3 linked regions of the Kluyveromyces lactis genome follow. The protein of the gene in region 1 interacts with the protein of each later gene in a pairwise test. Links are inferred from orthologs where the notes say so. Each region holds a gene or a part of one and is shown in the gene's direction. Other genes may lie near its edges.

Evidence for each region. The genes of interacting proteins can lie anywhere in the genome.
Region 2: the proteins of YOP1 (region 1) and POM34 interact in a protein complementation assay, tested with the Saccharomyces cerevisiae proteins (2 studies listed by BioGRID). The link is inferred for Kluyveromyces lactis from reciprocal best matches to the Saccharomyces cerevisiae genes YOP1 and POM34.
Region 3: the proteins of YOP1 (region 1) and SEY1 interact in binary tests that used the Saccharomyces cerevisiae proteins (3 or more experiments, as listed by UniProt). The link is inferred for Kluyveromyces lactis from reciprocal best matches to the Saccharomyces cerevisiae genes YOP1 and SEY1.

Annotation. Positions count from the first base shown.
Region 1 is NC_006041.1:596,442-598,972, reverse strand, and holds YOP1 (Yop1p), read left to right. Parts: upstream 1-1,386; coding exon 1,387-1,437; intron 1,438-1,539; coding exon 1,540-2,031; downstream 2,032-2,531. Other genes in the region: alpha,alpha-trehalase ATH1, read left to right, coding at 1-761; APL4 (AP-1 complex subunit gamma), read right to left, coding at 2,210-2,531. UniProt on the Saccharomyces cerevisiae protein: Required to generate and maintain the structure of the tubular endoplasmic reticulum network and the vacuole. Induces high curvature in membranes and causes membrane tubule formation. Involved in membrane/vesicle trafficking.
Region 2 is NC_006042.1:1,442,172-1,445,242, forward strand, and holds POM34 (Pom34p), read left to right. Parts: upstream 1-1,383; coding exon 1,384-2,571; downstream 2,572-3,071. Other genes in the region: PSR1 (phosphatase), read right to left, coding at 1-633; MEU1 (S-methyl-5-thioadenosine phosphorylase), read right to left, coding at 2,717-3,071. UniProt on the Saccharomyces cerevisiae protein: Functions as a component of the nuclear pore complex (NPC).
Region 3 is NC_006042.1:1,887,376-1,891,602, forward strand, and holds SEY1 (dynamin-like GTPase SEY1), read left to right. Parts: upstream 1-1,427; coding exon 1,428-3,788; downstream 3,789-4,227. Other genes in the region: polyphosphatase DDP1, read left to right, coding at 1-78; protein GET4, read right to left, coding at 121-1,029; NEJ1 (Nej1p), read left to right, coding at 4,060-4,227. UniProt on the Saccharomyces cerevisiae protein: Cooperates with the reticulon proteins RTN1 and RTN2 and the tubule-shaping DP1 family protein YOP1 to generate and maintain the structure of the tubular endoplasmic reticulum network. Has GTPase activity, which is required for its function in ER organization.

The DNA of each region.
Region 1 (2,531 bases):
TCAAGACTCCGTTATATATTCCGAAAAAAAATCTTGAGGGAAACCTCGTGGAAGCAAAGCAAATAACTAACCTAACAGCTGGCGTTCCTGGTGATGTTGCTGTTTCGGTTATCGACGGTAATAATTTCACACACTGGCAGCCCGCATATAAAAACTTGCCAGCAAGGCTATTAATCGATATGGGGAATAATTTCACGCAAGAGATCAAGTCAGGCAAGATTATATGGGGTTCGAGGCCTGCAAAGACCTTTTCGTTGTCGATATTGCCACAAACAGAAGAGGTATTCAAAAATTTGACGCATATATTATCAAACGTCAATCAATATTGCAATAAGACTGGTGATGAATGTGTACGCGATTTGGAACGGACAGAAAAAGGTTTTGATGCAGCGATTGAAGATGTTTTTGACTGGTACGGTATTGATCCAGATAGTATAATCAGTACTCATCCTGAACTTAAAGATATGAAAACTAAATTTGTAAAGATTTTGGATCACTATAAGGTAACACCATCAGAACCATACCCATGGCGAGTATATAATGAGTCCCAAATTGTATTATTGCCTGGAAATGAGACCGATTTCGATATTGATTATTCAAAAGTGGCTGAAATGAATCCCGAAAATGTTGATATTGATTTTCGTGGCAATCAAACTGATTGGAGAAAGGGAAGATTCATAGTTCTAACTGTTCATGACACTTATGATGATGACGATGATGAAAAGGGAGCGACAATTAAAGAATTTGCATTATTCCCATAAGACATGCACATAAGTCTCATATACGGGACATTTTTAGTTTGATAGTTATTTGATTAGTCGGTCAGCTAATTCAAATGCTGTCCCTAAAAGTTTTTATTCATAATGAAATGTTTTCATTTTTTTTTTGGCATTCCTTAGTGTATTCCTTCATATACTCAATCTGACACTTTTAAATAGTATTAGCTTCCAATATGAACGTTCGAAACTTCAGCGGCGAAAAAAAAACCAAAAAAAAAGAAGGCGTACGGGATTAGAAAAAATATGCTGCTTCTGTGGATCGAACACAGGACCTTATGAACTTCAGTCATACGCTCTCCCAACTGAGCTAAAGCAGCGACTTGTTGAAACCGGTGGTGATTTGCTCATATTGGTTCCACTTGCTAAAGTTAGTGTTCCTCTTTTTTTTTTTCGTTTTCTGTGGCTCGGATAGAACATTCCATTAGGTCTGGCTGTTTCTTAAAACGCAACGAATTCTGAAAAGTGAAAAAAAAATATAAACTAAAGAATGAAATTTAAAGGGATACATCTAACTTGCCAGTGAGCGATAATTCCTCCTCCTTCAAATTTTTTTGATTTACCTTAAGTCTGCACTCTATCAATCCAACAAATCTACAATCAAACAACAATGGCAGACTATCTGAAATTATTTCAAGATTCCTTGAAGGGTTTGGACACTGTATGTTTACTAGGATTTTTATTATCTTTCGGATGCTTCTCGTAACTAACAGAGAAAATAATACTACTTTAAAACTTAATATACTAACCAATTCTAACTTAGAAATTCGCTGGTAATCAAATTTTGTCTCGTATTGAAGCTCAAACAAAATTGCCAAGATCATATGTTATCGTTGGTCTTGTTGCTGTTTACTTTCTCTTAATTTTTATCAATGTTGGTGGAATTGGTGAGATTTTATCCAACTTTGTTGGATTCTGTATTCCAACATACTATTCTTTGAAAGCATTGAAGACTGCCACATCAACGGATGACACACAATTGTTAACTTATTGGATTGTTTTTTCGTTTTTGTCTGTGATCGAGTTCTGGTCCAAGGCTATTTTGTACTGGGTTCCATTCTACTGGTTCTTTAAGACTGTTTTCTTACTGTACATTGCCATTCCATCATTCGGCGGTGCCCAACTTGTTTACACGAGGTTGATTTCACCATTCTCTGACAAATACCTACCTATCGTGGAAGGGAAATCGGGAGAACTGGCCCAGAAAGTCGAAGCTGCTGCCAACAACGCTAAGGCTTCTGGATACTCCCGTTAAATTCTTCTTAGTTGAAAAATCACCCTCTGGTCCAATTTTCTTTTGAGTTCGCTTATTTGATTGCGGAAATGTGAACTCGTACCGGTGTTTATCGACATAGATCCCTTATCTACATGATGTGATTGTTATATCGTTTTATAGTTTACACAATATTACTTTAAGGCATCTTTAACGCTCGTTAATGGGGGATGTTTTCAAATTTATAATCGAATTGATCCTCGGTGGAGTTGATATTCAATTTGACCCTTAGCTTGATTTTCCCAGATCCTAGAATTTTAAGACCCTGCTTAGCTACTTCACCTGTAGCTACCTTGTGGCTTGACAGAGATCCGAATTCTGCCTTCTGTGATTTAGGAACAGCGATTAGGATCTGTAAGGTATTAATATTCGTTTTAGCTTTCAAGAATAGGTCTATTTCAGTACAACCGGGGATTGACGATTCTACTTTACCATAAACTTCAACAATATCAGATGAGTGGATATTGATAGAGTTTGGTGGT
Region 2 (3,071 bases), on another chromosome or scaffold:
ATCTTCGGGCTCCCCATTTGTCATTTCTACATCGCTAACGCCTTGACTATGAATGCCCTCGGAGTCATCCGCACTACTGGTATGTTCAGTCTCGTGAATCGTGGTCGTGACCTCTGCAGTTGGCTGAGTTGCAGACACTGCGGTGTCTGCAGTTGTGCCAGTACTTGTATCAGATTCAGCGTTATATACCAACAGTGTTTGCTTTTCATCCCCTTTTACATCCACATCGTCATCTTCCTCTCCAACCATGTCAACGTCAACGACATCACTATCAGTATCGTTATTACTAACAGCAGCCGTATTCTTCGACAGCGGACTCTTCTCAACAGGCGCACTTGCAACAGCCGCTACAGTTGAGCTATGCTTGTTCGCCGCATTTTTCTTTTTCAGATGCATCTTGGCTGTAGAATTGGATAACGTAGTATGAATTTCTGATTGTCTTGAATGAGTCGCAGCAACCCCTGGACGTCCACTCTTCTTTGCACTTAGCGTATTCTTGCTCTTACTTTTCTCCGAGCTTGACCCACTAGAACCTTTATTACTATTGTTACTTGACGATGAATTCCTACCCTTCTGTTTCCTAGAGCTATCCGAATCGCTTGAACCACACAATAAAGATGCAATGAATCCCATCACTTTTATTCCTAACAAAATCAACAGCGACCTATAAATAAATCGAGACACTGAGCGAGTGAGAGAAACCAAAAATCACACACTGAGCCCAAAAAAAATGGATAACCGATATTAATCAGATTGGTTTTTCAAACGGATTGATACTGTTATTAATATATGTTCTTTCTTTCTATCTAAGCAAAGAAAGATAGCAAACAAAAAAAACCTAAATACACAAACCAATCAGGCTCCCTGAAACCACTGGCCCCTTGATATAGTACCCGTACACTGACAAATCCCGGTACTTTTCAAGACTTTACTGCCCTTCTGTAAATGGCCTCCAAAAAAAATTAAGTTGCAGTTAAAATAAGAGAGTTAGTCAATGACCAATGTTCTATTCTCAAAATTGTTTAATCTGCAAAAGTTGACTGTTTCTGGTTTTTCCATGCTGAACAGAACATCAAAACTTAAAGAACGAACCAAACGAAGCAAAAAGAATTTTTTCTTTTCCCTGGCACAAGATGGTGCGGGTAACGAGATGTTTTTCACTTGAAAGAGATAGAGGCCGGCTTGAAGATTCACTTCTTAGTTTAACTACTAAAAACACAGCTAGTTCTTCAATGTTAATAAATAAGAATCGTTCAGTTTTTACCTGGATACGGTAAGTTTCATATCCTGATATTAGTGGTGTTTTTACTGTGGTAATTGATCGAGAGTTTACCCCGTAAATACAGGGATCAAGATATATAAAGGAAAAAGGTGAGAGTAGCAATGGATAATGGAATTTCTGCGCCTGGCACACCGGCCAAGACTTTTCAGACTCCCAATAGGCCTTTGAGCCAGCAGCAATTTCAATCCTTAAGGGAAAAAGCTATCAAACAGTCGCCTGCATTGTATAAACACAAGGTATTGAGTGATCCTACCAGCAAGACTGATGTTTCCAAGTCAGATTCTTCCTCTGTGTTTGCTGCATCTGCGTTCTCTGGCAGATTTGACGCGAAACCTTCAGCATCAACTAATACACATACCGCATCCCCTGTTTTTCGAGGAAAAAGTAACCAGGCATATTCTACACAGCAAGATACCGCACCAGTGACAAATTCTGATCTGCTACCGGACGAACCGGTGGGACAGAAACAACAAACGGATTTGAACTTTTCCGAAGATTCCGCATATGATAAATTGACTGATTTCGAAAACCCGGCGTTGGCTGCTTTCACATCTCGTATGGTTAATAAAGAGTTGGAGATGAGAAGGTTGTTGACTAATGTAGTGTTGGCAATGATTTGGAATCTCATATACAAATTCGTGTCATTATTCTTCCAATTCACTAAAAGGGGATCCCAACTTCGAGACGAACTGTATCTTTTCGTATTGAAAAACGTTGTTTATAAGATTAACCCACATGCCAACATCAATTCATTTTGGTTCCAAATGCTTTCTTGGCAATTTGCAACCAGTATATTCCATACTATTGTCATTTTTAACATTGCATCGTGTCTTTGGAACTTGCTGATAAAAGCACAAAATACGGACATATCAGATTTGCATCTAACCGAGAATCAAAAACGCTTGTTAGGGGTTGTGGAAAGCACCCCCGACTATGGTAGATCCTTTGATCCTTCAATTAATATAGGTAACTCTAAAGTGAAATCCTTAAATGAAGCAGAATCAAAATCCAGCCACAAGCCTTTCATATTCAAATCTTTACAGACTCCAATGAAAATGCGTGAGTTGAATACCCTTCAGCAAGCAGAAGTGAAAAAAAATCATGTATCTTTCTCTTTACAACCGAAGAAAGTAAACGCCTTTGGTGTCGATCACATAACAAATGTCTCCAATACTCCTACAACTTTATTCACATCGACACGCTCACAGCCAGACACTCGTCCCGGATATATTCCAAGCAACCGGTATACTTATATGATGGACTCACCAAGTGCGATGAAGAAGCGCTGAAAAGCATGCGTACTTCGGAGAACGATTCTTTTTCTTCTTCTTTTGGTTTCGAACCTCTGATAGCAGTTATGATAAGAATGTTATTACTTACATGGCTACCTACCGCGTATAGTTTATAAAGTTTATAGAAGAGAAATTTACAGCGTTACCAATGGTTTGGGAATAGAAACTTTAGCTTGGCCAAGGCATCTTGAGACATGGCTTCAGGTTTTGTTGAAATGGAGTACTTCATGGCATCCTTTAGACCATCACCGTTGTTCATAAATTCAGGAAGTTGCTTTGCCATTTCTAAAATGACCCGGGATGCCAAATGGTTAGCATTTTTGGCATTGTTCTGTAAATTACGGATAACAGTTTGTACAGACACTGGTTCTTCTTCGTCTCTCCATGCATCATAATCGGTAGACATACAAACCATCTGGTATAGAATTTCACATTCACGAGCCAATTTCGCTTCAGGGATCACACTCATGTTGATGACATCTCCACCCATCAGACGG
Region 3 (4,227 bases), on another chromosome or scaffold:
GCCAAAGAAAACTTGACCCGTGCCAAGAGGCCAGAGCTCATTGAGGCTCTGAATAGAAGTAGCATCAAGAAAAGTTAGCATTATATATAACATAGAGTATGTTTATACCGAAGACTATTATTATTTACCTCCAAAGAAACCAGACATCATATCTTGCAAGAAGTTGATTGGTTTCTCGACCTTGATACCGAAGTATTCTTGGCCCAAGAATTGTAGCTCAGAGTTGTATTTGTTGGCAAGAGTTGAGTATTGTGATTTTAGATTCTGGAAAAGAATAGTTTCTTGAGTTTGACATGCGATTATTAACAACTGTAAAAAGTTCAACGATTCCCACGATGAGAAATAATCAATCTTATATGGGCCTTTCTCTGTTAACTCAAATTTTACATCTGTCTTGTGATTGGTAAACCGTTTTAAAAGTTCTTTAGATCCCTCCAATGCATATTCGATATTGAAGATGAACAAATAGTTGAATATCATTCTTGATATGAAATCGGGGAAACTGGAGTCCTCACCGGATTGCTGATACCAGTCCCAAAGTAGATCCACATACCGCTTCATCGAGTCATGAGTACCTAGCACTAGATATCTTTCCGCTTCGTATGTATATCCACCTTCAAGTAATTTTGTAGCGATCGCTGAATGTAAGTATGGGTCACCAAACTTATATTCACTATGTTTCACAGACCAATTGTTCATCCCTGTCACTACATCCTTTAAATTTGGTTCCTGGCCGTCAACGAGGACGAGTAATTGAATGAGTCTAGAGACCGAAGAGTCATTGCATGGAACCGATGCCAAATCGTAAACTTCAAGTAGATAGAAGATCAAATCTGAACCAGAACCACCTTGCTTGGACCTCAAAAACGCACCGGCTGCATGAGAAATCAAATCAATCGATTCATCATACTTTTTGGCCCGCACATATCTATTAGCAATGGTTCTTAACGTCTGATGGGCTTCATAATAATCACCAGCTTCAATTCTCGCATTGAATCTCTGTAAGGTCTTCGTTAATTTATCACTCATCTCTAAGTGTCTCGATCAAAAAACAATTAAGGTATGTAAAAACTCGCCTAACGGATTCAAAAGGCCTCTTGATAAGTACAAAATAACTTGATTCTGAGAAACACGAAAGCTGTGGTTCACTCGTTGGACCTTTACAATATGATCATGTTCTTTCTTTCTCTTCCTGGCGAAATTTCGGACCGTTAAAATATTGAAACTCAACAAAACCAATATTGAAATTGACTCGTTCATTAACTATTCTGATGAAAGATAGGGTAAAGGACAATAACAGCTGGAGCAGCAGCTGAGCTATATTGCCAAGGGATTTAATTACAATTTAGAACCGAGTAATATCTGCTTAGTGAGGTGATACATTTCGTTTTTGTTACATTATTAAGGGAACGCTGTCAAACAGTAGCATGAGTGATCTCAAAGAAGCTATTCAGCTCATCGATGAGAACAAACAATTCAATCCCTCGACATTGAACTATTTCACGAAGTGCCTTGGGGATAAAAATGTTGGAGTAAAGTATCATGTCATATCTGTTTTTGGATCGCAATCAAGTGGTAAATCGACGTTATTGAATAAATTGTTCGATACAAAATTCGATACCATGGATGCACAGGTTAAACGACAACAGACTACTAGAGGTATTTGGTTATCCCATTCTGCCAATATATACAGCTCTGGAGCTGCCAACCAATCCATTCCTGATTTCTTTGTTTTGGATGTCGAAGGTTCGGATGGTGCGGAGAGAGGTGAGGATCAAGACTTTGAAAGGAAAGCTGCTCTATTTGCATTATCAGTGTCCGAGGTTCTAATCGTGAATATGTGGGAAAACCAGGTCGGGCTATACCAGGGGAATAACATGGGGTTGTTGAAAACGGTTTTCGAGGTGAATCTTTCGTTATTTGGCAAGAATGAAAATCGTCACAAGGTAGCATTGCTGTTTGTCATTAGAGATTTTACCGGCCAAACACCATTGGAAAGTTTAGAAGCCAGTCTTGTCCTGGAATTAGAAAAAATGTGGTCACAGCTAAGTAAGCCTGAAGGTTGTGAAGATACATCTTTCCATGATTTTTTCGTTCCAAATTTCTTCGGTTTGGGCCACAAGGTCTTCCAACCTGAACAGTTTGATAATGATGTGAAGAGTTTGGGTGACTTGTTCGTTGACCAAGATGCCTCTTTCTTCAAAGATGAATACCATACTCACTTGCCATTGGATGGATGGTCTCTTTATGCAGAAAACTGCTGGGAACAAATTGAGAATAACAAAGATCTTGATTTGCCGACCCAGCAGATTCTCGTAGCTAGATTCAAAACCGACGAGATTGCAGCAGCAGCATACAACAAATTTTTGAATGACTATCAATCACAGGTCACTGACTCCTTGGATGGGAAAGAACTTGCAACAGTACTAAAAACATTACAATCAACCTGTATTGATGTCGACTATGACCCTTTCGCCTCACGTTACGCGAAGAAAGTGTATGAAGAACGTAGAGATGATTTGATCAAACAATTAAATACGATAATCGACGAAACGATAACGAATTTCGTTACAAGAACTACTTCATCCCTCATTGAAACTTTCCACAAGAATGCAAGAGATAGAAGTTTGAAGGGGCCATTCAAGCTGAAAATACAATCAGCTCTCGAGAAAGCATCAAGGACGTTCAAAACAAACCTTGCTCCATTTTCAGAACTTGAATTATTATCTTCCATGGATGCATATATCTCTAAATTCGAAGCTCGCGTCAATACCGAGGTTGCTGATCTTCAGGAGCGTGAACTTAATGCGATAGTAGCGAGGTTCAATAAGGGTCTAACTATCAAACTCAAGGATACCATACTTCATCTACTTGCTAAACCTACTATCAATGTATGGGATGACGTTATGAAAGAATTCACTAGTTTCTTAGATGGTAGTTTGAAGAAGTACACTAATGAAGACGGTAAAATAGATTTCCAAACTGGAGCCACTACTGATGCGAATGACAAAACAGAGCACACATTAAAAAGAAATGCTTGGTCATTTTTAGATCATACGGTTCATGGGTATTTGACTGAAGATAATGTTGTTGATATCATGAGAAACGTTTTTAACGACAAATTCAGATACGATGATGACGGTATGCCGAAATTCTGGAAAAATGAAGCAGAAGTAGATGCTTCATATCGTTTGGCAAAAAGTCAGGCATTGAGTGTATTGGATGCCCTTGCAATTGTAAAGAACAAAGATAATGTGGAGATACTCATCCCTGAAGCTCTACTGGAATCAGATGGAGATGGATCCGATTACGAGGAGAACGGCGGCCAAGAAGAAGAAGAAGCAGGGCTATATCATCAACAAAGGTTTTCCCATGTCCTTTCTGCATTGCAAAAAGATAAAATTATTACAAAATTCAAGCAGTTCACAGATTTGGTAATAATTGAAGCTAAAAGGTCTATCGTAAACACAACCGAACGTATCCCCTTGTATATGTATGCACTAGTGGTTGCATTGGGATGGGGTAGAATCATTACTATTCTCAGGAATCCCGCTACGATCATCTTATCGATCATTGTTCTTGCCGGAGCATATTTTGTTCACAAACTAAACTTATGGGGTCCATTACTACAATTTGCCAACCAAGCCACAGGACAAGCAACTGCGGTATTGAAACAAACTGTTCGAAGCTTGGTAGTGGATGAGGAACCAAAGAGAAAGATACTCGTCGAACCACATGAGTCAGAAGGAGTAGACAAGGAACCTTCGAAAAATGACCAGCATTTATAATTACAATATTATGTAGTAACACTTGCTGTATATAAATATTTTAATAGGATTCCGAGATAATATCATCGATATCCAAATAATGTTTTAGCTTCCATGGTTAACTTCCCTGTTGAACGGTGGTGAATAGAACCTTAAAATACTATGAAAAAAACAGTCAAATGGCTTTAGCATTCTATTGAAGGGTTTAATGAACTTTTGAAAGTGCAGCCTCTAAAAGATAAAAGAATTGCACCGCAAGGTCCTTTACGGAGCTGTGTGGTCATCCATTATTATGTCAAACCAAGAAGCCACCGGAAGTTGGCAGTTTTTACACATAAATAATGATATTTCGTTGGCTAAAATTACGAAAGAGTCATCGTCATCCATCATCGGTGTACTGAAGCTCTGCGAGGATGAGAAGTTCTTACGGTTTCGTGTAAGCTCAGAGCAGATTCCAAAG